Lytechinus pictus: one gene and its partner. Each later gene encodes a partner of the first gene's protein in a complex. Links are inferred from orthologs where the notes say so. Each region holds a gene or a part of one and is shown in the gene's direction. Other genes may lie near its edges.

Region 1 (15,325 bases):
TACTGGCTTAGCATGGCATGATTGTCAGACACTTATTTTCAACAAACGATATTATCATGGTCTGAGTCTGCAACTAACTAGGATGGGGGAGGGAGAAAACAATGTATGTCTGATGAGTAACAGACCCACATGCACCCCATTAACAGGCTAATTCTTTGCACTTGGCTTCTGGTGCTTTTGTAACGGGTGATTAATGTCACTTTGAGTGGTTGTCAGAAAACATTTCCATTACGGTTATGACTCAAATGAAGACACTCAAAGGATATCATTGTGACTTTACTTAACCAAATTTCCTCTTTTCTTTCTGGCAGCAGAGAGCTGTTGTCATGTAAATTGTGTGAAAGTGTTATCGGTAATATACAGTAGAGATGTCCATAACTTTATTCTACATAAATGTCTATTTTATCATATAAAATGATTGTGAATTAATTTCTAGACCTGTACAGTAATTACAAAATACATAAAAGCCCATAATTATCATATAAAATGATTGTGAATTAATTTCTAGGTACTGTAAATACAAAATAAAACTTGACCTTAACTGTATTATATTGACTTGAAGATAATGATGGAAAAATAAAAACACAAAATATTCTATTCATACATGTACAAGTGACAAACAGAAATTTTGCCAATCATCAGAACTTTAAATAATGCTAATTGTTCATGAATAGTTATTGTTCATGAGTAGCATTTTTTTTAGAATTTTAATTCAAATTCAATTCAGATTTGTAAAATAACAAATTATGCAAAACACTAACCACCAAAAAACCTCGCAATCTTCCCTTTCACAATCTATGAAATTAAAGAACAAAGCTTTTCACAAAAATATGATTTTTTTTTTTAAATTCAGATACCCCCCCTCCCGACGAGTGACTTATTTGGAATCCTGTCTTCAAATTATTTTTGCTTGTTCACACGTAAATAATCTAAGTTATACCATATGAAAGAAGAGATTCTAAGCTTTATATTGATAGGTCAGTTGTCTATTATATTTGTTATTAAGTTATGATAAATCATCTATAATTCGTGGTTTCATTTTTTTTTATGGGACGCACTGTATATCACAAATCATACTAATTCAACTGAACAGATTATGACCAAAGAAATCATGTAAGCATGCCACTTTATGATGAAAACCCTGACAATTAGTTCAAGACAAATAATCTGAGCGCTGGGCCCCAAGAGAGAAAATGGCAACTGGGTCAACGTGAGGGAGGGGGAAAACACTGGTTAATCCGATCCATGTGGTAACAGGAGAAAAGTTTATGAAGTCATCAAAAATAAAGGTTTCGCAACCTGCCTTGCCAAGCTCAGACGGCTTAAAGGCAGAATCAGGGATATGTATACAAGTGAAAAGCAAGAGATACTAAGCATATCTAGACTGACTCGATAGCACACTCACCACAATAGAATACCCATAAATTTAGGAGAACTTGTTCAAGTCTCAAATTATTTTCAGCATAGTTTGACCTCGTCGAAAACAGCCGTTTTAAAATTTTTTGTACAAGCTTCATACAGGTGGTTTGAATAAAAATGTATAAAACGGCTGTTTTCGACTCGCCGTACGGCCGCCATAGAGCAAATGTGACCGAGGTATTACTGATTTGGTCTGATTCCAAACTGCTAGCTTTCTACAGCCCATGCACCCAACTGCTCATTAGGATGAGAAAATTATGTAATTTGCTTCCAAACTATGGGAATACCAGCAACCAAATTCCTGTGAAAGTTGTTGTAACACTAATAGTATCTTCTTTGAGAAAAATTACAATTATCTTTCATACTGGCAAAAATACCTGGTACATGTACTTTCCTGATCGGGATAGATCAGGGTAAATGTCCAATCGGAGAATAAGAATTCTCGAACTTTGTGTCTCTCTAAATAGGGCTACTGTAAATATTTTCAAAATTACTATTCAAAATATAACACTGGTATATGTACATGTTAGTCCTCAGGAGGAGGGGGGCCGGGAGGAGGGCCTGGTGGGGACCAGACACAACCATATTGCTGCTTACATTTCCAACCTGATAAATACATTGAACAGGGTGGTCTTTGCTGGTTGGTGGGTGGAATTCATGTGACAATTTTAATGCTGAGGAGGTAAAAAAATGCCAGAAATCAGAATAAAAATAGTTTATAATTAAGGAAAATTTCTTAGTTGTTGCATTTTGGCATTTAATGTACCCCCCGCCTATATTAGGAGTATTTTTTTGGGGGGGTGGGCGAATCATTTGGTAAATGTTTGGAAATCAATGTATTGAAAAGGGTATAAATTTTACCAATCAAATAAATTCTGAGTCTTTTATTGATACAGATGAGTCCCCATAGTCACATAGCATTTTTTATAAAGCTTGGAAGAATTTATGGTAAAATCAGGGACATGGAATTTGAAGAAATATGAAATAATGCAAAAAAAAAGATAATTACCTTTTAAGTATATTATTCCCTCTCATATTAACAGAGAAAACAGGATAGTTAAGGTTGCTTCAAATTCAAACGAGAAAATGTTACTATAAGTAAACAAAACACAAAACTTTCCTTTTTAGTAAAGGAAAGCAAGATTTTCAAGACTGGCATTGCAGAAATGCTAGTTTTATCAACTTTCCCCCCTTTTTTGGGCTCTGATCAGTGATACCTTTAACCGATTGTAGCATACAAGATTAATGTTTTCCCTTAAATCTTCATGTATGTGAACATCTCATGTCTATGAAGTTTGTGGGAAAGACAGGAAGAATGGCGGAAGGAAAGGAGAAGGTTAGCAAAGGGCTAAATTATACCTGTGGGTTTTGAGACGTCGTAAGGACAGAACATAGCTCTGGCACAACGCCAGGGCTCTTCAAAGCTTGCTTCAGTTCTTCTGTGCCCTGCAGTGGGGGAAGGAGAAGGAAGATGAGGAGGAGGAGAGGAGGGGCAGAGGAAGATGGGAGGGGAGAAGGAAGGGTTGAGGAAGACATAAGGGGAGGGAACGGGGATGAGGGAGAGGGGGATGGGAGGAGGAAGAAGGTGAAGAGGAAAAGTGAAAAACAAAAAGAGAAGGAAATGGCAGGAAAAAAAAACAAAGTTGACAAATAGAAAACAAGGAAAGAGATATGAGAAAAAAAGAGGATATGAAAATAAAAAAGAGCAAGGTGGAAGAGATAGGGAAGGAAACAAAGAAAGAAAATTAAAAAGAAAGGGAGAAAGAATGAGAGAGACAGAGAGAGAGAGAGCAAGAAAGAAAGAAAGAAAGAAAGAAAAAAAGAAAGAGAGAAAGAGAGAAGAAAGAGAGAAAGAAAAAGAAAGTAAGAAAGAAAGAAAGAGAGAAAGAAAGAAAGAGAGAAAGAAAGAGAGAAAGAAAGAGAGGAAGAAAGAAAGTAAAAAAGAAAAAAAGAAAGTAAGAAAGAAAGAGAGAAAGAGAGAAAGAAAGAGAGAAGGAAAGAAAATGAGTAAGCGATGCAGCACATCGAAATGGGGTGGGGGAGGGATTGAATCAGAAAACAAAAACATGGTAAATTAAAAAGGGAATGAGGTAGCATGTGGAAATAATGAAATTGAACATTTAAAAAAAAATACTCAGATCACTGCAAAGGAAATTTAGAAAGATGACGAAAAAAGTTATGGGTAATGCCAAGTACAGTTTTTGTAGTGAAAAAAATATAATTATCGATTATCAGTAAGCAAATTAGAATCATAAAATGTGATCATTTTTATTGCACCTTTCACACATTTTGTTTTATGACATCTATAGTTTTTCAAACATTTCATTTTTTCACATTATAATTTAAGCTTTGAAACAGAACTTTAGATTAATAAAATAATAAAATGAAAGGGAAATATGGTTGAAACAAAACAGGATGGAAACATATGTTCGTAATCAGGTGTGGATTCATGGGTTACTTCCTCTTTCTTAATGATTTTCCTTTAAAAAACTAAGTACAAGTCAGTGAAATTGCAATAAAAATTGTAATAAGTGGAAAAGATCAAGGCATTCAACACCTAACAATCTCTCAAGTTACATCTCTAACTTTCCATAAAAGTTCCATATACTGAGGACCATTGGAATTCAACAAAAAACAAATTGCCATAATAAAGCTTGAAATATAGAATGTGAGTCTGAATAAATTCATGAAAATCAATTATGTACACAAAAAACAAAATTTAAATATGAAATGTTTCAGAAAGTGAAACTGAATATTCTGTATTCACAATCACAGCTATTAAGTTTGAAAAAAAAAATAGACCACTTCAGATCTATACATCTCATTGGATGAAAAATTAAAACTTTCACCATATTTTCTGCTATTTTCATATTTTCAAAACCAAATCTCTATTCATAACTGCTTCAACGAATGTCTGCTTCTCTGATCATAGGAATCAAAGTTCGAGAGTTCATATATATTTAAGTACAAAAATAAAAAGCATATCAATAACAAACAAGCGAACTTATCTGGAATACATATAGGAATACATGAATCCCCCAAACCAGTAGTGAGAAAATATGTTTGATGATAAAAAGGGTTTGGTGAACATAATTGAATATACATGTAATTAGGTGAAATCATAAAATACATTGATGGAAGGTGTTGGAGATAATAAAAAAACAACAACAAGATAAGAAAACAAGTTTAAAGGAAGGGTGGATACAACTTCTAGATCAAATTTAAAATCATTAACAAGTCCACCCAACCAAAAGCTGATTTGAATACAAAAAAGAGAAATTAAATACCGGGTATGCTTAACACTGAAAATTTCATAAAAATCGGATATAAAGTAGGAAAGTTACTATGACATTTTAAAGTTTCGCTTATTTTTACAAGACAGTTATATTCACATCCTAGTCGGTATGCAAATGAGGGGACTAATGACATCACCCACTCACTATTTCTTTTGTATTTTATTACTTGAAATATGACATATTCTTATTTCCCCTCATTGTGAACAAGTTTAAGTCCTCCCTGAACAAGTGGGATTACCATTGTTTTAAGATTTTGTGGTTCAGTCAAGTTCATCTTTATTGTAAAATCTGTAAAAATTGAAATATTGTATAATGCGGACATTAAAAAAACAAAAGAAATAGCGAGGGACATCATCTACTCTCTCATGTCTCTGAGTTGTGCATAACTGTTTTTTGAAAAAATAAGCAAAACTTAAAAATGTCATAACTTTTTTTATTTTACATCCAACTTTGATAAAATTTTCAGCTTTCTGCTTCTATGATTTTTCTCATTGATTCAAATCAACATTTTCTGGGGTAGAGTTGACCTTTAAGGGGCATCCCCCTCTCCTTATATCATCTCTCTTCTCCAACATCATTTTATCATCGTTCATAAATTTATTACTTTAAAGGTGATCAGATCATCCTCAGGTTGTCTATCAAAACAAAACAATGAACCAATGAAGTTTCTCAGTTAGTTTCACATATCAATATACATGTAGAATGAAAAGTTACTTAGGAAAAGTCCACCCCAAAAAAAACTTTAAAAAAAGAAAAAATCCAACAAGTGTAACACTGAAAATGTTAACAAAATCATATGTAAGATAACAAAATTTTGACATTTTTAAGCTTCCCTTGATTTCACAAAAAAAATTATATGCACATCCTGCCAATGAGAAGACTGATGACATCACCCACTCACTACTTCTTTTGTACATGCATAATGATGCATTTTATTTATTATATGAAATATGTAATATTCTAATTTTCTCCTCATTGTCATGTGATTATGTGAAACAAAGCTTTACTCCAGAGCTGTTAGCATGTGGTATTACCATTTATGGTTCAGTCGAGTTGAACCTTATTGTCAAATTTCAAATCTGTAAAAAATGAAATATTTTACAATTCAAACAATAAAAAACAAAAGAAGTAGTGAGTGCCAGACATCATCGACTCTCATTTGCATGTCATTGAGTTTTGTGAAAAATATGAAAAACTTAAAAATATCATAACTTTCCTATTTTACATCCGATCGTAATGAAATTTTCAGTGTTGGTCGCATTTCATAAGTTGGGTATGCAAAAAGGGTGGCGGATGAACAAATAATAAATTGTACCTACATCACAGCCCCATGGCCAAATTTGTTGTGTAAGGTCTCATTTTTGGAGCTAGAACTATAGGCTAAATAGTAAATATATTACTACAAATTAGATCAATACAATATCAGCAACAAAAACTATAGCACATTAAGTTTGAAGTTAAGGGGTGGCAGAGCCGGTGGATGCGGTGAATGATAATATTGTTGTAATGTGATGCTTAACGCATCATTTTTGTTCATTTACAGCATTTTCATTAGTTAAATGTCACTACTTAAACAAACTAAAGTTCAAATTTAATGTCAAAACAAACTTTTGAAACTACTGTATTTCAATGTCCCTATACAGTTAAATTATTAATGATGTTCCTAATAAATACACTCGATTAAGTAGGAAAAGTTTATCCAATATATACATTCAATAACCCTTTTTTCCCTAATTTCTTTTAATTTCAATATTGATTGAGTCTAATTTCACTTTAGAATTATTTTAAAGACTCTGGGCATCACTTTTTTAAGTTGAAGTACATTCATAAAAAAAGATATAGGCATGCAGGTAAATTATGTTAAGTTAATTAACTTAAATAACAACTAAAACATGCATTATTGTGCCATGATACATTCTATTATGTCATAATATGTACAATTGTACATGTACATGTATACTGACTGTCAGACTCATATTTCTAGCCAGTTTAAATTATGCAAATTTGACAACTTTGAAAACATTCCAGAATTAGCTACATGTACATGTGCATTTTAGCTCCAATCTGCAACCTATCTACCGGTAATTAGTAAATCCTATCTAATTAGTAAATTTTAGGAAAATATTGTTAACTATTTAATTTATAAACTTAATTTATACTATTTTAAAGTCTTGTATCATTAAAAAAACAACATTTTTTTCTATTCACGGTGTAGTGAATTTGCAAGGCATGTGAGGGTGAGCTGAGAGTCACTTTTTTGGAAAAAATTGCAAAATTAAACATTGTTAAAATTAGATGTAATTAATATGCATGCAATAACAGATTACCACTTTTTTGTTATGGATGTATTAAGCATTGATGTTCAAATAATACAACTGCAAAATAACATCGGTATAACAATAACAATAACAATAACAAAATACTAGGGTGATCCAATGTAGCATTAATTTTTTACACCATTTTTTGTGCAGAAAGTCCAATTTGAGAAAAATGCATTTAAAAATTCAAATTTACATTGACATCAATGTATTAGATATAAAATGAGTCATTTTAAGAAAAATAAAGGTATTTTAGGATAAAATCCTCCTTCAATATTTGAAGAATGGTAATACCTAAAAAATAACTTTTTCGACCATTTTTACCCTGTTCGCAAAATTGGACCACTTTATGACATGCGACCTGTTATGCTTGTTTGATTTTTCTCTATTCAAAATTATATCAATCTGTGATGGACTTGACCTTCAAAAAAGCATTCACATTTATTGTGAGTAGCCTTTATTTTGATCCCCAACCCACCCCTCAGTAGAATAAGAGAAAAATCTTCCTGCAATCAATATTGTTCAGTTACAATGTATTTTCAATGAATCCAGAACATAGTCGTAGATACTGCTCGTACTGTGGAGATCTGAAGAAAAAGAAAGTAGGGCCTAACTCTCTCACCCAAATTTCAACAAAGAAGTTTCATCAGGAATTTAGATCTAAACATTAAACACCTTTGGCAAAGCTAAAATATAAATAAAAAAACATTATTTCAAGATTAATTTTTAATCAACATCACCACCCAGTGTTGGTAAAAAATAAATTGTTAAACATGACTAGCACTATACAAATAGCTCCATGGTATAGGCATATCCACCACCAGCACCATCTGCATTATCAATATCATCACCATCACCATTATGATTTATCATCATCATCGTCATCACATCATCATTCATCTGTTCATATTTATGACATCATCGTCATCATCATCAACATCCTCATCATCACCACCGCCATCACCATCACCATCATCATTCAGTCACAGAAGCAAAATCAGCTGTACTTGGTCTCACTCTCAGACATACTCATAGTTCAGTCTCAGCCTCGGCTTCTGCTGCAAATCATCATGCAAAAAAAGCCAAAATCAGCAGATCAGGATTCAGGCCAGGCCAGGGCCAGGGATATGGCCTGTGTCAGTCTGAGCTGCTGAGTCTGAGCAATTTTGGCAAAGGCGTATTACTAATTTTAGCCGTTGCTTGCCAGTGGCAGTGTAGTCCTTACCTGTTGTATTACCACATTGTCAGGCACAAGAAGTTTCAGAAGAATTTGTTCAAGCGCTGATGACATTTTCCCAGGCTAAGCTCCGTCCTTCCCTGACACAAACTCAAGTCTACTCTAAAATCTAATGCCAATGCACTTCCTACGATTACGGTGCGCTCCCAACCCCGTCTTCTGCCAATTCTCCACGTAAAATGAATGAAAGTGTGCATGCATGGCACGGGTGTGATGAGTAAGTTAGACTCTTCAAAGAAAAAATGAGAAACCGGAACTTATTTGCACATGCACTGTGTAAGTGTAAAGCAAGCGACAAACAATAAAACAACTGGTAACACATCTACGTCTGAACAGTTCAAAGGTCATTATGTCCACATGGTTAATGTTATTTTGACACTGACGTGTTTCTCTCAGACTTTGTAAGATTGTAACTTTGAGGAGGTTTCGTCGCATCAAATATGGGAAAATCGAAGAATAAGAGATTCCGTTCAAAGAAGGCACAGCCGACTGGTTTGGAGAGTGTGAAGGAAATACAAGCAGAGGAAGAAGAACTCGGCACGTCCACGACCTCCTCGGACACCGTACAGCTGAAGACAGTCGGAGTGTTGGAGAAGGTGCGCGGGGCCCCGCCCCGGTAGTTTTTGTGTGTGTCGAGTGGTTGAGAGCAAGAGACGTGATTGCGGCCGGGTCGGGTGGGGTCACTTGTTCACTTCTCCCACGTCCCACCCTGCCTTGAGTGTGGGGAATCTAAATTATGTAGATCACTGCAGTATACAATTCACATTTAAAAATTCATTAAAATGCCACTTTAAAAACCATACAGTTGTCATGGCCATGGGGATCAGTTATTCACTGACAGTGACACAAGTCACTGGACCTGGACTCTGGAGCGCTCAAAACTTGAATTTTTGGCATATATTTGTGCAGGCCCTCTATTGATAGAAAGTAAAATTTTAAGAAAATTGTCATTTTTCAATCTCTTTTTTTAATTCAGAAAAAATACTTGAATAAAAGACTTCAATTTTTAAGATAATAAGAACCCGGGGGGGGGGGGGGGCACTTCCATTGACGAGTGGATACCATGCGCGACCATTTATTCTCGAATAGCACCCTAAACAAGTATTTTCCAAATTCTGAAAATGCATCCCTAACAAGTATTGGCATGTGAAACCCTACCCTTAACAAGTCCTGGGGGGGGGGGGGGGAGGGGGGGCCATGCAGTCAAACAAATAAATAAGTACAGCGATGTTTTAATTTTTAAGTCACAGTCTTAAGTTTTACCTTTACCTACATCATTGGGTTTATAGTACGGCACCAGCTTGTGTAAATCGTACACGTAGTGTTGACTGTTGGGGCAGAAAGTACATCCTTTATAAAACATTTTAGTCTTTTTTATACCCACGCAAATTTGACCCTTGACGTAGCTTTCCTAGCGAAATAGATACCCTTTTTTCATTATTTTAGTGGTCTTGACACTCTTATTACGTTACATACGTAACATGCCCTATCTTGGAAAAAGAGATCCTTATTACATGTTTTTTGTGGTCGCGCATGGTATCCAATCATCAATGTAAGTGGCCCCTCTGGGCTTAAGAACCAAGTTATATGATGAATAGTTGTAATGGAAAATGACAGTGTAAAAAAAAAATCAAGCATTTGTCAAGAGAAACAAGAGAAAATAAGCCAAACATTGCCAACCACAGGGAATAGTAACCTTGTTCATTAAATGAGCGGTTGGGATGAGACTTTCTGCAGGTATTTTGTAGCTGGCCCAAATCAGAATGCCCATTATAGCAAAACGGTTAATTATGTTCATTATTGTCCATGTGAGCGCTCTAATTTTAGCTCAATTGTATTCAGTTTTACCCTTGGCCTCGGCCCTCCATTTACAGTAACTTAGAGGCGCTGGTCAGAAAATTGGGACCGTCCCAGTTTACAGGGACTATCTCAGTTTTCAAAGATTCCACCACACAAGAAATCTAGGAAAGTTCATTCACCTGTGCCGACACCAATCTAGTGCGCTAGTCAATGTAAACATATAATCGAGTTTCACAAAAAGATTATTGGAAGACGGCATATCGTGAAAAGACAGTGAACTGGGGGGAATTGAGGTCACTGAATCTAATTTTAGCACTCTCAATCCCCGAAATTGCCGTCTTTGTCCCGCATGGGTAAGTGAAAAAAAAATGTCCCCATAAACAAGGACAGTCTCAATTTATTAAGACATGATTTGTCTTGGTTTATGAGTATATTCTTGTTTTCTGGGACAATCCCAATTTTTGGACCAGCGCCTCTACTGATTTGAATTGTCTCAGTTAACAATTAGATTAGATAATAAATTCAACTGTCTCATACTGATAATAAGCTTTTAATTTGTCATATATAGTCTAGTAGACTACATTAAAATAATCCTCAACACCTAAAACACAATGAAAATTACTTAAAAGTCTCAGAAATTCCATATCTAACTTCTGAAAAAGTAGCAAAATAGATCATCTTTATGTGCTGAAAAATAAACATAACAGGACCTAGCTTGCTCAGCTGTGTGTCGCACGCACGTTTTTAGTATACAAGTTATCTCGTGTGTAAGCATTGTCGTATGCTAGCGAAAATCCATTAAAAAAAAAATTCATAATGCAAGCCTATGTCTATGGCTTTACTATGTATTGTGTGCTGCACAGTGTGGCTTTTCACGACCATACACCGAAACTTCAACAATTCAAGTTTTGACAATGATCTTGAGATTTTGATGATATCGAACCTTAAACCCCTAAAATTAGAAAAGAATGAAATAAGCTATCTATATCTCAGAATAATTGACAAATCTAGCTCATTTTGAGCGGATTACGTTTGATTTTAAAGCTAACTTTGATATCAAAATCCGCTGCATTCACCGTACAGGGGTACAATCATGGTGGATTCTTCCGCCCAACGCGCACATACAAATTTCGTGCACATCCGCGATAGCGCCAATTAGCGCTCATTGTGGATCCTACTGTCTCACTCTCAGTTTTCAATCAAACTAATTGATTAATGTTACAGTCTACAAATTCAATTTTTAGGAAAGTTCAATCACCTGTCAAGTGCTGACACTTATCAAGTGCACAAGTCAATGTAAACATACAGTATCAGGTGTCTAACAAGATTATTGGAAGACGGCAAGTCCTAAACAATATATGGTGAATTGAATCTGTTGGGATCGAGGTCACTGAATCTACGTTATTTTTAGCACTCAATCCCCTTAATTTTGGTTTATGTCCTGCAGCTGCGCAGGGAGAAGTGGGAAAAAAAACTCAATTTATCAAGACACGATTTGTCTCATTTTATGAGGATATCCTTCTTTTTGGGGCACTATCTCAATTATTGGACCAGCACATCTATGTTAATCAGTCTAAAAAATGTGAGTCATACATGGTGTATTGTCTTTGATCATTTGTGAACTTGGTAAATGTCATGTTGGTCAGTAGTAGTCGGCTGAAATACGTCTGGAAGATGTTTTTTTTTAAAATTTGTTTCCTCCTTCAGTCCAGGCCAGCAGATTGGAAAACCGAATGAAAAAACAATGCAGAAAAATGGTAGTACTAAAAATGGGTGAAGGAGAAGAATATATGCAACAATCTGTCAGAGATGCATGCTCTTTGGATGAACTTGACAACTTTTTCTGTCTTCATTTTCAGCTTCAAAGTAGCTCGGCTGAGGAGAGAGAATGTGCCTGCACGTCTCTGGCAAACTTGGTCCAGGATCCCCAAGCACTGCAGACCTTGGTCCAACAGAAAGCAGTGCGTAGCCTTGGGCCTCTTCTCGTTGACCCATCATCAGGTATCCGAGAAGCTGCGGCTGGAGCTTTGAGGTAAATTTCTTTGTATATTTCTGTCTGTCTCTCTCCCTGTCTGTCTCTCTCACTCTCTCTCTTTCAGAAAAAAAGAAGAAGTAATTTTTACTTGCATTTAGGATCTGTGTGCAGATTGTCCTAATTTCCAAGGTTTATTTCAAAGTTAAAGAGTTCACAAACTAGTGGCTTAAATTATAATGCAATTGCAAAGCACTCAGGGGTCAATTTTCTTACAAAAATCGACCAAAGAACTTTCTGAACGCAGAAATCATTGTTGCTATTAAAGACTCAAGATAGGGATTGATAAATAATCTGATGAAAATATGCATTTTGTAAATTTGTAATCTGATGAATTTACAAATTTGTAAATTCAAATTAGTAAATTTACAAATGTTGTAAATTCACAAGTGATTGTTTTATTGTGAATAATGAAATATTAATTTATTTTCTTGATATTGTTCAGGAATCTGACTGTAGCAGGTGGACATGATATTTGTGACCATATGATAGATGAAGACATCATGACCCCTCTAGTTGCATTCCTACTTCAGGTAAGAATCCATGTCAAAGGTTATTGTATACTCTATACACTTTTCTTTATGGCTTTTGTCCTCAAACAACTCAACAAATAGAGTCAATGTTTTTAGTTTATGTATTAAAGATATTTCACTTATTTTCTTTTATTATTATTTTTTGATTGATTGATTGATTTATTCATTAATTCATTTATCTATTTCATTTTTTAAAATATTCTTTTATATTTTGTTGGCAGGCTCAGGTCAAATTTTAGATCAGTTGTCAAGCTATAGAGTATCATGAAAGGTTAATGAATTTTCAACTAAGACATTGACCTTGTTGGAATGTGATAAGAGCAGGCTCTTAGTCTTTCTGTCATGAAAGTTAGATGAGGATGTCATTTATGTTGAAGAATCTACTTATTTGCCATTTCAGAGTTATTAATGAGACTTTTCCTTGAATAGTAAACTTGACAGCCAAGCATACAACATCAGATGATGAACATTGAATCTGTTATAATCCCATAAAATGATCAACCTTTTTGTAGACCTGTCTAACCTCCATTTTTGTCCAGTTTTAATTCACTGTACAAACTGCTCATGCCATGATAATTTAAGAGCAGTACAGTTATGATACAAGCTAGAACTAAGATATTCATTTGCAATTTAGTTGTTTTATGCCAATGAATGTTATGTTTAGTATTCAGATGGAATTCCACAGACCTCTGCAAAGCATAAAGAGAATAAGATGCCTCAGCATGACTCAAGTTTAGAAGCATTAGTGCAAGCTGTACATCTTGTCTGGAATTTATGGTAAGATTTTTAGATTTCATTGAGGACTGTTTATGAGGTGGAGAGAATGATGATGATACTGATAATTGAGGTGGTTGTGATGATGATGATGATTATAAGGATCGTGAGGATCGTGATCCTGATGATCACAATGATCATAAGGATGAAAATGATGATGGTGATGGTGAAAATAATTGATGTGGTGGTGATGGCGGTAGTGGTGGTGGTGGTGGTGGTGATGATGACGACGATGAAGGTGGTGGTGTTTGCGATGATGGAGTGGTGATGGTTGGGATGAGGATGGTGATGGTTGGGATGAGGATGGTGATGGTTGGGATGAGGATGGTGATGATGATATGTCAGAGGTCAAACAATTCCTCTTCTAACCCCCCCCCCCCGTGTTTCTTTCTAAATGCTATCTTTTCTTAATTTTTTTCTACTTTCATTCATTCTATCTTTCTGTCTGTCTCTCTTTTTTATTTCTTTTGTTATTAAAAGAAAGTCTTTGAAAAATGAAATGAAAATAACATTTCATTCCAGTTGTGAGTTGTCAAGTTTTCTTTGAAAGTTCATGATTGTGATTTGAACTTTTTCCTCCTTTCTTAGTGAGAGTAATAGTACAGCAGTAGCCATAGCTAATCAACAAGGTTTAGTCACAGTCTTCCTTCACTGTCTTCAAGCCTACCCAACTATGGTGGATTTAGCCATCTGTGCAGGTACGTCTATTTCACACCCTCTCATGAAACTGAAGAGATGCCAACCATTCTTTTTTCCCCTGCATATCTTTTCCTTTGTTTGCTATGAACAAGGTGATATTTTGTATGTTATGTTATATTTCCTTTAAATTTCTGATCAAGGAGTATAATGCCCATGAGACAAGATGGAAATGAAATGCAGTGACCAACTAAGAAGCTTAGCTTGTTGGCCATAGTATGAATTATAAATGAAATAGTGAGTGTGTGACCTAATTAGTACCTGGATGTTATTTATATAACTGTTTTGTGAAACTAAGAAGAAACATTAGAATGCATGAACATTTTGCAACAGATTCCTATGAATGTGATTATAAAAGGTTTTTCTGTTCCATTCAAATCAACTTTATTTTGAATGAATGAAAGAACAAACGAACGAATAAATATATGAATGACTTACTGACTAAATGAATGCTATGATTAATTAATTTGATTAATTGAATTAATAAACGAGTGACTGAATGAATGAATAATATGATTAATTGTTTGATAAAGTGATGAATGAAACAAATAATGAATTAATGGATGACCGACTGACTGAATGAATAATATGATTGTTTGATAAAGTGATGAATGAGATAAATGAATGAATAAATGGGTGACTGACGAAATTATGTTTGAGTAAATCATTCATGAGTTTGTGAATGAATGACAATTGACTGGCTGAATGAATATGATTAATTGTTGAATAAATGAATGAATCATGCAAAGTTGACACAAACATATGAATATGGAATGAATGACTAGTTAATCAAATTCTTGAAATTCATAGTTAATTCCTTTATAAATAACCCTGAAATTGTGTCGTGCCCAGTAGCCATGTACCTAATCCAAGGTCATTTCGTGCACAGGTATGCATGTAGGTAGCTCCCAATTACTGAACAGAATAATACATGATAGACCCACAGAGTAGAGGGGGCTATTTCTGCTTGAAAAATATGACAGTTGAACCTCTCACAATAAAGACATGTTCTCAGTGAAATAGTGCATCGATTGTAAATATATGTGCATCGTCCAATATTCCTCATACAATCAGCTAGGTTCATGTTATTAATTTCCAAGAATTCCATTTAAAAGGTCTTTCCAAGAACAAAGACCCAAGAGGTACCTGTATTTGAATGAACAGAAGGCGGTTTTGTGGAAATAAATACAAAGGGGAAAAAAAAGCAGGAGAAAAAGCTA
Region 2 (16,336 bases), on another chromosome or scaffold:
AAGGGAGAATATATAGCTCTGGGTATATGTAAATGTATGTATATATGTCATTCCATCCGTTTAGTGTTCTCACTTGTTTGTAAATAAGGTAAATCAGTAAATCATATAATATAAAGCATGCGGGATTCCAGTCAAACCAAATGAAATTGAACAATCTAACACTTGGCACTTTGCCATTGCAAGCGGGGAAAGACTTTGAGGAAAGGGTCAGATTACATGTTATACTTGTTATAATGACCGTTATCAAAACACACTTTGAAAACGGAAAATACAATTGAAATCGCAAAATTATTCAGGAAAATCTATATGTACGAATCTAACATGTTTTAGTCTCATAATACAATTCATGACTATATCCGTGACTGAGTACTCCTGCAACGTATTTGATATCTTAAACAGAATTATCTATTTTTTAATGTTGATGTGAAAGAGAAATGTTGATATATATTTATATTGTACATTGCACGAGAAATCAAACAAGACAACCTATACTATTAAAGCATGGTAAGCGCACAAAAGCAAGAGTTTGTTAGTTAAGCGCACAAAAACAAGAAATGTAGGCCTGCCGCCCTTTTAAAGCATTTTAAAAAATAGAGAAATTATAGGTATGGCCTCAAATGTGGGAATGGTGATGTGTTGATTGAAGAAAAAAGAAGAAGAGGGTAAAGACGAGGAAGAAGAAGAAGGAGGAGGAAGAAGAAGACGGAAAAATTGAGAAGGAGAAGGAAAGAATTAAGGAAGGAGGAAGAAAATAAGGGGGTGGAGGAGAAAGGTGTGCATATCATATATTTTGTGAAAATAAGCACATTTCGAGAAAAAAAATCATAACTTTATTTTACATTCAAATTCAATTAAAATTCCATAGGAATGTCTGTTTTTTCTACAGTTTATCAACTAATCTTGAAGTCCTTTTTTATGGACTTTGCTTTTAAATCAATCGATATATCATACTCGAGCTATATACGAAACATACTTCACATAATATAATAAAAATATTCCTTTAAATTGCCCTCTGTTACTTTCTCTGATCTGCTGCCTCTACATGTATACAGTTCATTACTTTATGCATAAAATTGAAGAAAGATATTCTATTGATTATCATTTATTGAAAGGCTGATAAATGTTCTAAAAAGAATAGAGTCAGTCCATGTATATTCTAAACGTTTTGATCTCATTTCGCTGCGAAGGTTTTTGCATGGTGTTAACAAATTATATTTTATTTTTATCTGTATTCTTTCTTCTCATTTATACCAAGTTCATTGAATAAATATATGCTACTAAAAATAATTCATGGTTGATTCTATCAAGTATGTGTAAAATGTGAAATATTCTTCATAAACTCATTGGATTTGATAATGATTGTATGACTCATCATTGTCTTATGTCTAAGACATGTTTACATTGTGAATCGCGTTTGATTTCTATCCTGTTTTAATCATTTATAATTTAAGAAACAAAAGAAAGGGAGTGATTACAAGGGGGAGGAGAGAAGGGAGATATCGAGAAGTCAAGAGAGCGGGGAGAGGAGGACTGGGTCCGGGAGGGAATACCAAAATCTGAAGCCGAAACTATATAGGGCCATTTTCACTGCACAAACAATCAGAATACTGAACAAAATCAATATTAATTTAAAGCCAAGAGCATTCTGCATATCATTGAAAATTTTATTCTCAAAAATATCTGAGGTTATTATTATTATTTATTCGGCAAATAATATTCAAAAATACATTTCAATGTATACAATACAAAATAAGAAATATCAACCAGTGGAACGCCAGGGACAGAAAAAGTTAACTTAATTACTGTGGCATGAAGCCTCCTGTCCCAATTCCAATGGTTGATTTACAATATATAGGTTACTTACCAAATCAAAATCGTATAATAAATTTCATCTTTCAATACACATATTATATAAGTTTCAATTTAATCCAAGAGTGGTTATTGCAAATTCCTGACTGATATAATAATTTAAAAAATGTTGGGTACATATTCCGCAAAGAACTTCCAATTATGGTGACTTTGCCATTATTATCAAAGTACCGTGGAAACGGTGCAATCAAATAAAGGTTTCCATAATAGTTTACAAAGGTTACCTTAGTGGTAAGGTCTTTTTTTTTAATGGGGCCCCCGAACTTCCAGGGCCTGTTTCATGAACTTTTTATAATAATAAAAAAAATTGCATAACAGTTAAAAGCTACTGTAATCATTCAATTTGGTTGACTGGTAGTACATTTATATTTCTTATTATAGCAAGCCTTTATTAAACAGGATCCCGTGTTGTAACCATATACTCAAAGATGTGACAGCGATCGTTCTGCACCCCAGAATTCAGCCCCTTTTAGCAGTGTTATTATTTAAGCCACTGTATCCCCTATTTCACAAAAAATGGGCGTAAATTGCATCCTAAAAAAACAGCCCCATTTTCTTTTTGCATTCTAAGTACACCTTTTACTAAAGTATGCACTTTGACTGCAAACTACTTGTAGAGCCAATAAAACTAAATCACTCTTTATTTCAATTTCAAGTCCATATTCAAACCCACCCCCTAATTTGGACGAATAAAATTTTGGAATAATAAACCTTCAAAATAACGAGCTGTAACCCTTGAAACAATTATTTTTCCCTTAAACCATATACATTATATGTTCACGATCAATTTTAAATAGGACCACTTTTAGTGCAGAACTTTCAACAATCATGGTTATGCATTTGAATACAAAGTTACAAGAGGGCTAAACCTCCTCCAAATATAAACAAATCCTTTGAAAACAAAACTTAGAATAATAGGAAAATTCCATTAAATATGACCACTTTGCAGTAATATTTATATGATAAACAAATGTCCTCCAAACATTTTTGTCCAATTACATGGATTGAACAACAATGTAGATTAAATGAATTACAAATTTTCAGGTTTCAAACTCAAGCCTGCCTCACACTTTACAATCCACTGTATTAATAAATTTTTAATTCAAAATTGTGAACAAAAAATGATTTAAAAGACAGTTTTTATAACTTTTGTTGATTGATTGAGGTTTAATGACACTACCAACACAATGTGTCATATGAGTGCCATCTGCAAAGTTATGTTAATGTTACAATTTGTTTGCTTAATGCTATTTTATGATCTACGCATTTAATTATACAGTAAGCGGAGTAAAAAAAAAATGTTAACTACTTCAATGCATAGGGAAAGTTCACTGGTCTTTTCAAACAGAAAAGTAGTATATTTTAATGTGCAAGCTGTCAAGGATTCAAAGTCAAATCAATTATTTAGCTTCAAAATCATTGTAATCCTCTAGGTCAGACGGGAGCCAAGTGGTTCGTTACTTATCAAGATATCTACCATTATGCAATTAGGGTACAATACCAAATTCTTCTGTGTTGCATACCGCTGAGCTTGGCCACCCACAAGTTCATCTGTCTGCAAGTTATTTTCCAAAATAAGATCAGAGCAGATCATATAGTCCGACACAGGCTTCAGTAAATATGAAATAATGCACATATCTTCTTGACATATATGTAAATATCAAAATGTCAGTAGGAGTAGCAGTAGTAGTAGTAGTAGTAGTAGTAGTAGTAGTAGTAGTAGTAGTAGTAGTAGTAGTAGTAGTAGTAGTAGTAGTAGTAGTAGTAGTAGCAGCAGTAGTAGTAGTAGTACTTAGTAGTAGTAGTAGTAGTAGTAGAAGTAGTAGTAGAAGTAGTAGTAGTATTAGTAGAAGTAGTATCATCATCATCATAATCATTATGATTAATATAAAATTATACTATTATAAATTAAATCCTTCTTTATTATCTCTCTTCATAAGAATAAACAACAACAGTATGTAAATCATTGCAAGAATATACATACATGTATATATATTAAGTAAGGAGTGGAGCAAATGCTGCATTGGAGACTTGGGAGAGAAATTGTAAAGATACAAAAACCCTGTTAGTCAGTGTTTCTCAGTGACTAGTTTGCCTCAACCAATCAGATGCAGGGATTTGCAGTAAATCACTGACAAAACTTTTTATGAAACCATCCCCTGAACAATCTCATTAGCAACACCTGTGTGCTACTTTACCTAGCGTTTGGCTATGGTATATGGAATCAAACACACCAATGACAAAGAGTAGTACTATGGGGAATAGAAAGGCAGCTAGGAGAAAACAAAAGCTATGCAGGAATTTTACTTAATTTCATATAACTTACCTCCAAATGGCAGATGATAAAATGAAGACAATCTGAGTATAGCAGTGTATTTTACCAAACAAACAATGATTACATATTTGATTTAAATACATACATACATCAGGGGCGGATCCAGGAATTTTTGGAAGGAGGGGGGCCAGAAAGCCCCGTAACATGCACCGAAGGTTTCTCTTAAGTTAATAAGGACACTTTTTTCTGCAGGTTGCCCCAATATGGGAGGGGGGTGGGCGCCCCCCCCCCCACCCTGGATCCGCTCCTGTATCTAATATGTCATATATTTGACTTACATAATATTTCATTTTTTTAAAGCTTAATATTAAACTCAAGATGGAAAGTTCTCAAATTTAAGGCAGATTAATAAATGCTGAAGTACAAGTGAGTAAAACCTGCCTTAGCAGCTTCCTATCTATAGCAGAAACCTGTCTTTAATGGCCATCAAAACTGTTTCCATTTAAAAGGAATGTGGCTACTTTTTCTTTTTTGCATGAGTGGCCTTAACAGACAATTTTAACAGTATACTAATAACATTGTTTTGCCTCCAAAGTCTATCGAGTCCTTGTATTTTGTCTCAAACAAAAATAAAGTATGATGCTTTAACATGTCATCGAGGTGACATTTCCTGATTTCCTTTGGAGTCTTTAATTAAAGGCATATAACATAAATTAATTAGCGTAGGGAAGTTGTTGTCCCAGCATAGAGTCTTGCTGAAGCTGATAGTGACCTCCGTTTCCTTTCTTTGGATTCTGTACAAAAGTAGAAAAATATTGACCAAATTATTCTATTTCTAATAGTTCATGATGCAAAATTATTTAGCCCTTTATCAAAATACTCCCCAGGGAGTGGATATTGTATTTGGGGCTGTGGTGGGGGGGGGGGGGGAACTGACCGAATCCTTCTATGAAGGCAATAATCATCTGTAAGAGAGTTTATGCCCTTAAGTACATGCATAATCTTGATTATTCATTGTTACCATCATTGGTACAAAAACAATGAACAAATCAAAGTTCACAATGAATGTCTATGTTTCTTCATAAATAAATGTTCATGTTTAAAAAAAAAAATCATGGTACTCACTTTCTACAAGTCTTTGTTGTTTTTTGGTCCCATGCAGCATTGCAGTAATGTAAAAGAATAATGGCAATATACAGACAAAGACGCTTAGGGTTACTACAGCTAAAAACTCTCTTTCTATCTTCCGACATTGATTATCTTTCCACATGATGCGGGTGCGATTCATCTAAAAAAGGAAAAACAGCAAAATAAATTTCAATGTAGCACGTTTCAAGATGATACAGTTGAGGCCAGAAGTTTACATATACCCAGGAAATTCAAAGAAAAGTTGACACTTGCCAAACATCATAAATTTATTGTATCTTATAAAATATTTGTGCTATCATGACAAATTTGATATCAAACACATTGCTTTGTCATCCCAACCATGTGAAAGAGCTTAATACGCTCTTTCATTTGATACCAAATTTGTCATTGTAGTATATATATTTATGAAGATATAGTAAATTTTACGATGTTTGGCAAGCAAACAAATTTCACTGAATTTCATGGGTGTATGTATGTAAACTTTTGGCCTGTATGTAATACACAATAGTTAACTAGAAGTACATCCCAGACTATCTTCTTTAGAACATTTTTCAAGGATACACAAATTCCTTTTAGGGAACATTTACACACTTAGCCAAAGAAGTGTTCATGTACACACTCACAAGTGAACTAATAGTGAACCCCTGCTACTGTGATTTGATGTCTTTTTAGTACTTCCAGTGACCCATGGTCATATAGAAACCTAGTCAATGTTCATATACTAACAAGTTATACATTTTAAAGATAAAATTATTCATTGACATTCATTTCATATTCTCTTTGTATGAATGTATTCCAAGTCAAGTTTTCTATATCTAGGCAATGGTCTAGCTCTGCGCTAAATATACGGAAAGCCCAAAAGGTGAGCAATATGTTTGCATGGTATGTTTCTTATGTGTGGATGTTCTTTCTTCATGCTTTGATGGTGACGAAAGCTACATGTGCTTCAATTATTATTCCTAGACAGTTGTGAATGATTTGAGAGTCATATCTTGACACTCACAGATTTGTGTCACTATTGGCTTTCCATAGTTAAACCACAACTTTAGACCAAAATTTGAATTAGACCAGAATCCAGAACATGTGCCAGCATTTCAAGTTGAGTTTCATTTACAGCAGTTAGATTGCTTACCAAGTCTATGATGTCCATACAAAGTTGGTCGTCGCTCATGTCATTGTACAGGGCATTCAGTCTGTCATATTCTTCACTGCAATTATCACATAACGTCATATTTGAGTCGACTGGAACTGGATCATCCTGTGAAATGAACATCAAAAAGATTGTTGGATAATATATTTAATACGCACTTAGTAAAGTGAATAAATAATAATAATAACGTGGAACATTAATATAATGCTTAATACAATGTTTCTAAGTGCTGCATACCAGTGGCGTGCCTGGGATTTTTCACAGGGGGAGCAAAACCGTCCGCCAAAAAATTTGACAAGCAAAAAAAAAAAAAAAAAAAAAAAAAAAAAAGGGTCTTCAAGCTCGTCAGGGGGGGGGGGGGCAATAAAGGTCTTCAAGCTCGTCAGGGGGGGCAGGGATACGTCCTTTGCATGGGTTGTGGCTCGTCAGGGGGGGGCAGACTGCCCCCTCTGCCCCCCCCCCCCCCCGTAAGTACGCTAGTGCTGCATACTATTAATTATCCCTGATCGAGTACACTGAGCATTCAAAGGATTTCTTCCTACTGGGTAGCGTGAAATTAAGCAAAACTTTAAAATGTTGTAAGTTTCTTATTTTACATCCAAGTTTCATTTTTTTCTCTCTCTTTTCATTCAAATCGACTGTTTGTTGGAGTGAATCTGCCCCCAAATCATTACTGAATCTGATCAGGGAGCTTGTGATAAGTAGGTGCAAAACTTTCATTTGTAATGAGAATGTTACAAGCATGACTGTGTAACCAATGAAGTGATTGAAAATTTACTGGAAAGTTCTTCAAAGCTATGTGGGTTTTCCATGTAAACTTAATTTAGTTTAAATCTTGATTTTGTTTATTATTCTGTTTTCGATGAGAGGGTCAGTTATTTTGACATGCTATGAGTATTTTTAATCACAACCATGAACAGATTTTTCCAAACAGGGCAAAATAATGTTAAATTGGAAAGGGAATACATACAGTAAATGTACAAAGTGGGGGAATGAAGCAACCCAGTTTAGTTATTATCACACTAAAATTGAATTATCTGGTACATACATTATACTCTGTGCCATTGATGTACTTATTACACTTAATAATAGGAGAAAAATTAAATTGATAATCAGAGTGTGCTCTTGCCATTTTATCCACTTTCAGTATCCATGTAATAAGAAATATCAGGCAGATATTCTATAGATTGACACTATGACACGAAGTTGGGAAGCAGAGGAACAAGAAACTGAAAGAAAATAAATAGGAGGAAGTGGAGGATTTATAAGGAGAAGAGGAAGAGGAAGAAGACAAAAAAATAAAATAGTAATGAATTATCTCATTCAAGAATACTTACAGAGCATCCGCCATTGTTCAAAAAGCAGGTCATCGTGTCATTATAGTTCTTGAGGAATTCTTGAGTTGAGTTGGTTGCATTAAAATTCAGATTTTCATCATAGCAATCTGTAAAGTTTGCAGTGTAAAGAAGAAAAGTATAACTGATAAGGAAGAATGGAAAAGTAATAACAATTTAGTCTTGTGTACACGTAATTAAAAAGGAATCAAAAGTAATGTTTTTTAACTGACAGTAAATAAATAAATAAAAATAAAATATCTCTATCAAGTAATTAATTGAGAGCTTAGAGACTTTGAGCGCTCAGAGACTTAACTGTAACTTGCACTATATAAAAATTGAGTATTATTATTATTGTTATTAAGTGATGTACATTATGGTTAAAACTTGTAAGGACAAACTACCTAGAGTATATAAACTGAATGAAAATGAAAATTTGCTTACAGGATGACAGTATAACGTGATTAAATTGCATCAGAAATGAAATGCCCTTGCAACTTATACAGTGAAAGTACATGTATGCAGAAAGAAAGGGATAAACAGAGAGATTTAATGAAAAAGAGAGGGGGAGAGAAGTGTGATGTGGAAATATTTGAAAGAGAAACAAAAAGGGTAAAAAAGGCGGGAGAAGGGAAAAAAATATTCATTATCAAAACTACCAAATATCTTAATACAGTCACACATGGAGTCCTATTCTACCAGGTGGAGGGGATATGTCCGGAATGTTTCCTGAAAACTTACTTTGACAATTCCCATCACGCCACAGCTGAGTGAGGAAAGCTTGTGTTTGACTCACAATCTGCAGTTTATCAGAAACAAGTATATCTTCTTTGCATTCTTCATCCTGTAAGGGAAATACAAATTGTGAATCATGGTCTAGTCTAATGGAATGCCTGTTTGATTTTTTTTAATGCCATTTCTTTTTGCTTAGAACTAAAAATACTTACATGTATTATTAATTTCTTGACAGTTTATTAGTTTGTACATAGATTTTAATGTGCAGAATAATTATTTGAAATAAGTTATTGATTTACAGGTGTATATCTTGTGTATAAGACAGCTCGTTGCAGTTTTGCAGGCATTTGCCATAGTGAGAAAGAAAAAGAACCAATAAAACCATATTCAGGAGTAAACAATAAAACCATATTCAGGCATAAAACAATAAAACCATATCATCATTATATAAGCATTACTGACACACTTGTTCACTGCAACCACCCTGCCTATTGTGAATCTACATACATGTAGATCTATGCAGTATATCACTTCTGTTTTGTAACAAAAAATACTTATTATACCCAAGAACAAGAGAAAACACATAAAACATTGCCAGCCTTATTTCCCCACACAGGAAGTCCTAACAACAGAGAACAAGGTTATATCATAACCCTGTTCATTGAATGAGTGCACAAAGATGCACAATAATGGTAGAGTTAACTAATCATAATTTATATTGCACATGGCTATTTGACAGGTCAGACTAGTCTTTAGATAGAATGCCAAGGACATTCAAAAGGGAATAAGCAAATCCATCCACGCTTATAAATCTGGAACTTGGAAATGACCTGGCGCAGATAATCTACACAGATTGAAGAGCGCCAACAGCTCCAACACCAACCGAGCTGCGCACTGACATTTAAATTCCCAGACTCGAGCATAAAAATGAACAAAATAATAGTAAAATGCACACTTATGAATTAAAGACAATAAAGTAATATAGCCTACATTTTCAATATTACTCCACGCTTTCCTTGATAAGTCAAACTCCAATACACATTGTCCACAATACAAAACCGGCTTGGCATTCTTAACTGCACATTCAATGAATGCTGAGGAAGCATTGCTGTATGCACTCAATAGTTCTTTTCTGTGATGGCACTTCGTAAAATCCACAGGCAAGTTGTCAATGTCAACTAAAATATGTTCTTGAGTACATGCAAGAGGATTCAAATGATCAATGGCTGCTTGACCTTGTCCTTGTGAATTCGAGTTTAACTTTAAGCCAGGTGGATTGACGAATAAAGAGCCCTCTTCACGGGAAATGGAATGTAGATCCCCGCTGGTGCTCCCCGGCATCCACTTGTCACTGTCCGCCGAATCAGCAGCCACAAGAGTCCGAGGAGAGGGCAACAACAAGCTCAAGGAAAAAAGCGAGATGGACATGATGGAAGCTGAGAATATGATGGATCCGCACAAGAATGATATGAAAAATAATGGCTCCATAATTGTCACAAGTAAGTAATCCGATTCATTCAAGAACAGTTCTGGGAGCTGTGTATTCCATTCCACAAGGCCCCATCATTTTGGTCCACTGCTGTTGAGTCATGTGATAAATCATGTGACTGAAATAGTCTTTCAGGCATTATTTTACTACCTTTATTTATTGATATGAGCTTCATTAAAATCGTGCTTTCTTATTAATTATATCGTCTTTTCAAATATTTAACATTCTTTTTATTATCATAAAAAGCGTTCAATCCACTAAATCTTTGTTAATAGGTCAATTTTAATAAACTAACCGATTCGATTCAAATCTTATTGAACAAAGCCTAGGCCAATTCCACGTGTGTGCCAGTGCGGTGTGAGCTCAAGAATACCCTTAATAATCGCTAAAAAACAACATTGAATAAATTACTTTACTACAGCCAGGAGGATGCACCGGATAGTGTAAGGAACATTAATCAATTCAATTTTAAAGAATCGTTCAATTACTAGGTATATGATCACAATTTGTTTATTGTTTACCTTGATTTACGCCTTCTTCGATATCAAGCTCCACGGACAGTCGTCGCCGCGCAGCCCGGGCCCGGGACCGCGGGGGTCTGGTAGTCGGCACACGTCGGTCGGGTCGGGATCTAGACCAAAACTTAAAGCTTCAGTCTCTGTATTTTGGTTGTTCCGCTGAACTACGTTGGCTCCACTCACCATACATAGACTGAAGGGGATGGGGCCCCGTACCTACAGCCAACGTATAGTGAACTAGCGTTTTATAGATCGCGATTTAAAACTGTTTTTTAAGCAAAATTGAAAGTTTCATGGTTTCCATTATCAGGGAAATATAAATAACTTAAGACAATTGCATACCTTGGGCCGGAGTTATTGAAAAAAAATCCTCTGGATGATTGAGAAATCTGTCATCTAAGACATTTTCACCTGACCTGACGGTTTTTCTTGCAAGTTGCCATCTTGAATGACGTCATTATCGTTATTAACTTAATGTCTCGAATCGATATATCGCGATTATAACTAGTACTAGTACTAGTATAACTAGTATCGTTTATCTTCGGTTTCGTTCGCATATGGAGCAGATCGTATAATATCGAAAGCAATATCGATATCACATTCGTGATTGTTGACGTTCGTTTGTAAATATTTTATAGTTTGGCTGCCATTTTGACCATTTTTATCGTGTTCAACCCAATTAAACATCGGTAAAGTATATTTTTCATGCCTTTTTCATCTATATCGTTTAAAGTATTCAAATATTGGAATATCAAGGTTCAAAAGTTTGTTGTTTATACATCCTTAGATTGTAAATTCGATGTGTAAAATTACATCAAACTTTGGACTGTGAATTGACAAAAGGGAGGGAATGAGAACACATGCGAGCCCACACGTACACCCTACCGTCGGTAAATGGGGATTACAGTAAAATGTCAGAAATTGTTGAATAAATCCCCAGAAACGACGGTTATTCCTGTCTAGTCGGGATCGTGCTGGGTGCAGCCTGGGGCCCGTTTCTCGAAACCGTCTGTCTAACTTGTTTTGACTAAATTGCAGATAGTGTCCTGAGCTTATTGTCCGCTAACCTAACCACTTCACGAACATGATGAAGCCCCAGCCAGGCAGGGTGACCAGATTTCACAAAATGAAATACGGATTACGGGACAATCGACAAAGGCAAAGCATGCCGCGTTGCGTTGCAAGCTGGATCGACTGAGCCAGGTCTTAATAAGAATAATCAACAAAGAAGGCTATACAATGTTAGACCTGTGAAAAAAAATATAAAGAAAAGGAAGGGAGGGTGAACGAAAGAATGAAGGAAGGAAAGAAAAGACATAAATTGAGAGGAAATAAAGAAAAAATGAAGGGAAAAAAAAAAAAAATTTAAAGTCAAGGATGAAAGAAAGAAAAAGGTTTCCGTCATTCTTTGAAATGAATACAGAAAGAAAGGAAGGGAAGAGGAATAGTTGTGTGAAAGAGAGAATAAAGGAGAGAAAGAATTATAGGAAATAAAAATGTTTCCTTCATTCTTTGAAAGAAACAAAGAAGAAAAGCAGGAAGGGAAAGAAAGAATACAGTTACAGGAAAAGAAAAGAATGAAAGATGGAGGAAAGAATGAAAAAAGAAAGAAAATAATGGCAAGAGAGAAAGAATGAAAAGAAAAAGGAGATGAAGGGAGGAGGAAGCAAAGAAAAGTTTAAGGAAAGAATGAAGGAAATAGAAGATGAAAATTTTAAAAAGAAGGAAAGTAAGAGAAAGGAAAGAAAGAAAAATGAACGAGAGAGAAAGGATCATGAAAGAAAGCTAGGAAAGATTGAACAAAATAAAAAGGCAAGCAGGAAGGATGAAGAAAGGATAGAAAAGAAAGAAAGAGGAAAAAAGTTCAAACTTCAAGCAAACAAATAAAAGTCCAATCTAACAAAAATCTTAATGATATCATATTTGTGGGGTTTTTGTCTCGCCTGCATAGCAGAGCGAGACTATAGGCGCCGTTTTTCTGACGGCGGCGGCGAAGTCAACATCAAATCTTAACCGAAGGTTAAGTTTTTGAAATGACATCATAACTTAGAAAGTATATGGACCTAGTTCATGAAACTTGGACATAAGGTCAATCAAGTATTACTTAACATCCTGCCTGAGTTTCAGGTCACATGACCAAGGTCAAAGGTCATTTAGGGTCAATGAACTTAGACCATGTTGGGATAATTATTTTCAAAATCTTAACCGAAGGTTAAGTTTTTTAAATGACATCATAGCTTAGAAAGTATATGGACCTAGTTCATGAAACTTGGACATAAGGTCAATCAAGTATTACTTAACATCCTGCCTGAGTTTCAGGTCACATGACCAAGGTCAAAGGTCATTTAGGGTCAATGAACTTAGACCATGTTGGGATAATTATTTTCAAAATCTTAACCGAAGGTTAAGTTTTTTAAATGACATCATAGCTTAGAAAGTATATGGACCTAGTTCATGAAACTTGGGCATAAGGTTATTCAAGTATTAGTGAACATCTTGCCTGAGTTTCAGGTCACATGACCAAGGTCAAAGGTCATTTTGGGTCAATTAACTTTGGCCAAGTTGGGGGTATTTGTTGAATTACCATCATAACTTTGAAAGTTTATGGATCTAGTTCATAAAACTTGGACATAAGAGTAATCAAGTATCACTGAACATCCTTTACGAGTTTCAGGTCACATGACCATGGTCAAAGGTCATTAAAGGTCAATGAACTTTGGCCGTATTGGGGGTATTTGATAAATTACCATCCTAACTCTGAAAGTTTATGGATCTAGTTCATAAAACTTGGGATATAAGAGTAATCAAGTATCACTGAACATCCCCGGTGAGTTTCAGGTCACAAAACCAAGGTCAAAGGTCAGTTAAGGTCAATAAACTTAGGCCATGTTTGGGTAATTGTTGAATTGCCATCATAACATTAGATAGTAGTGCTGTTGTCGGGAACAAAAATCCATGTCAACCTGTCGCTTAAAAATTAATCCCGACATCGACAATGTCGACATGAAAAAGGGACTGTAATTTAGCCTAGGCTCCTAACATTAAAAAAAAAATCATTCGATCCTAGAACATAACACTCTTAATCAAATGTATTCACCTTGACACGAGTGATATCCCCACACTAGATCTAGATCTATATAATACAGGCTCAGTTCGGAAAACATTTTCACTAAGCTAGAGTGAATTCACTTCCAAAATCACCGATTAATCCACATTTTTTTCTGGAGAATCAAGTTTTTGTACCACGATCCGGTCTCGAAAGCATTGCGCAATAACACTCGGAGCCAATTTGAGAATCACCAATTACAACAGTGATCATTGCGTATTATACGCTGGTACACATGTGCTGCAAACGCAAGCTCCTCAAAGTGACAATAAAAAATAATGAAAATCGACCGATAATTTCAGTATCACTTCCGCGGCAATCCGTGCAACGATCTCCAAACGAAGGAAGGGAAGTTTTCTGTGACTTCGTGATATAAAGTTGCTCAATTGCGGCGGTCACAACTTTGACAAAAACACATGTTCGCTGCTGCTCACGTTTTTATGTGAAAAGTAATGCATTGAGGAGCAACGTATTATCAAGCACGGTGAATAGCGATGGGTACATATTTCCGTGGATGGGTACGGTGAATGCTACTAAGCTACGCTCGCTATAGCGCTAGATATATATCTAGAGTGATCGTCGGGATCGAGGGCGGCTCAATCGGGCAGGCCGGCCCCGCACTGACGTATTTCTGCTGCCGCGCAGCTTGCAGGTATTCTTTTTTTCATTTAATGCGCTGCTAAGCTGAATAAACCTTTTAATCGCGCCAATTACTGTGGATAAATGCTTCTAACTTTTCAGCTAAGCTGTACACTCGTGACTTTAGGCTAGACCCCTTTTTATTTTATGTTTACATGTCGATGTGGGTGCGTGCATGTCGACATGTCGGAAACATTGAAAATCCTTTGTATGTCGACATCAATGTCGATATGAGGCCTATCGACAACAGCACTATTGGATAGTTTATGGATAGAATAGAGTGAATGAAATGTGGACATGAGTGTAGTTGACAAGTCTTAAGTCACCATTCAAATGTCATTTATGGTCAATGAATGTGGTATTATGTCATGATATGAATGGTGTTTTTGTTAATGATTATTTTATAGTAGTTTTCAAAGTTAGCACTGCTGCTCTATTAAATCGCGTAATGCAGGCGAGACTGCCAGAGGCGTTCCTCTTGTTATATATTTTAAATTCTTTTAAAAACAAAATGTTTTAGAAATGAAAAAAATTTGTTAAACTTAAAAATTAGATGAAACATCGTGGCATCACACACAGGCATCTCTCATCCCATTACAAGTTCGCACCGATCACAACAAGACTCAAGAAGCTTTAATAACTAGATCTAATTATGAAAACTCAAATAATAGGCTTTCTCCTCTGATTACAACACCAAATCAGTAATCTGAGAATCCATAATAAAGCATATAAATTTCCTGCCGATTTTGTGATTATTTTGGTGGAAAAACTGTTTGTCATGTTGAGATTGTTTGCACCAATGAGAATCCGCTCCGATCCTACCACATGCAGCAGGCCAGTGCAAGCCACGTGCATGCTGCAGCTAGTACATGTATGTATGCTTGTTTGCACTGTAATGGGTAGCAAGAAAATGACCGCAGCCGGACTGCAGAACTTGCAAAAGTTTACAGTTATCGATTTTATTGTTGTCTCTGCTTCGTCATCTGTTGGTTATTTGATGAAAATTATTCACTTTTCTATGTATTAATTATATTTTGTTCAATATTCTGAAATACGGGACAAATAGGCGTCCCGGGAAGGGTTTGTCGGGATGCTGGGACAATGGAGCAAAATACGGGATGATCCCGGGAAATACGGGACGTCTGGTCACCCCGCGAAGCCCCTCTAACTCTGCTCTGCCAGGCCAAGACTTGCAAGAGACAGCAACAACCCTCTTGACATTTATTTACTGAGCCGAGTCTGACTCCGACCCTGTCAACATGGTGAAGGCAGTGTCATAATTTTTTTATCATTATCGGCGCCATGCCATGACTAAATGGGTATACTATAACTATGCCAATTGCCAAAAAGGGCCTCAAAATGGAAGTTTGATATTATGTGATCAATTATAAAAATTTAGAACAGAACATCAATCATGACAATCACAATCACAGACACAAATGTCTAGGTGTAAAAGTTAGAACATGTAAAGCTTAAGTTCAAACCATCTAGATAAATTTCAAATGCCCTAAGTGAAGACCAGAATATCTACAGAAGAAGTCCTTCATTCCCGTACCTGATTGGATTGTGATGAAAATAAGAGTTTGGTAAAATGCGCATGTAGATGTACATAGACTCTAGTTGAAAAATATAAGTCAAGTCAATGATATTGAATTGAAGTTAACTGCTACTTCAGGCCATCCACAATCAAACACATATGTGTATTTGTTATTGCAAACACCATTTCAATAAAATTAACTTAAAATTTGATACTAAAAAGTGTTTATTAAACAATATTCATGTTATTATTGCTAATTACCGGGTAATGAAAAGGTGTTTTGCAATGGAATATACTGCGATTCTCATCCTAGTAATATTATGACTTCATTGACATCTTGATTTTTTATTGCAGTCATGACCTTATGCCTTATATTTACACAGATCAAATTTACATCACAGTAAAAAGTACCTAATGATTATCCTAAATAATTTGATACCATATTTATGATAAATATGATATCAAAATTATTAGGAAGAAAATACACTTTTATACTCGAGCCCAGACTAATAGTTTTGTGTTTGTGACATATCTT

What was found.
Region 2: HEAT repeat-containing protein 3-like (region 1) and ribosome production factor 2 homolog share a complex: the UniProt entries of both Homo sapiens proteins name them as parts of the hexameric 5S RNP precursor complex. The link is inferred for Lytechinus pictus from reciprocal best matches to the Homo sapiens genes HEATR3 and RPF2.

Annotation. Positions count from the first base shown.
Region 1 is NC_087246.1:37,176,710-37,192,034, forward strand, and holds the start of HEAT repeat-containing protein 3-like, read left to right. Parts: upstream 1-8,600; 5' UTR 8,601-8,710; coding exon 8,711-8,866; intron 8,867-11,929; coding exon 11,930-12,102; intron 12,103-12,547; coding exon 12,548-12,635; intron 12,636-13,299; coding exon 13,300-13,412; intron 13,413-13,997; coding exon 13,998-14,107; intron 14,108-15,325. Other genes in the region: importin-4-like, read right to left, coding at 2,779-2,865, 8,259-8,324. UniProt on the Homo sapiens protein: Plays a role in ribosome biogenesis and in nuclear import of the 60S ribosomal protein L5/large ribosomal subunit protein uL18 (RPL5). Required for proper erythrocyte maturation.
Region 2 is NC_087248.1:10,398,350-10,414,685, forward strand, and holds the start of ribosome production factor 2 homolog, read left to right. Parts: upstream 1-10,101; 5' UTR 10,102-10,430; coding exon 10,431-10,444; intron 10,445-16,336. Other genes in the region: osteopetrosis-associated transmembrane protein 1-like, read right to left, coding at 4,862-4,938, 5,270-5,432, 6,426-6,551, 7,781-7,887, 8,519-8,621, 9,503-10,000. UniProt on the Homo sapiens protein: Involved in ribosomal large subunit assembly. May regulate the localization of the 5S RNP/5S ribonucleoprotein particle to the nucleolus.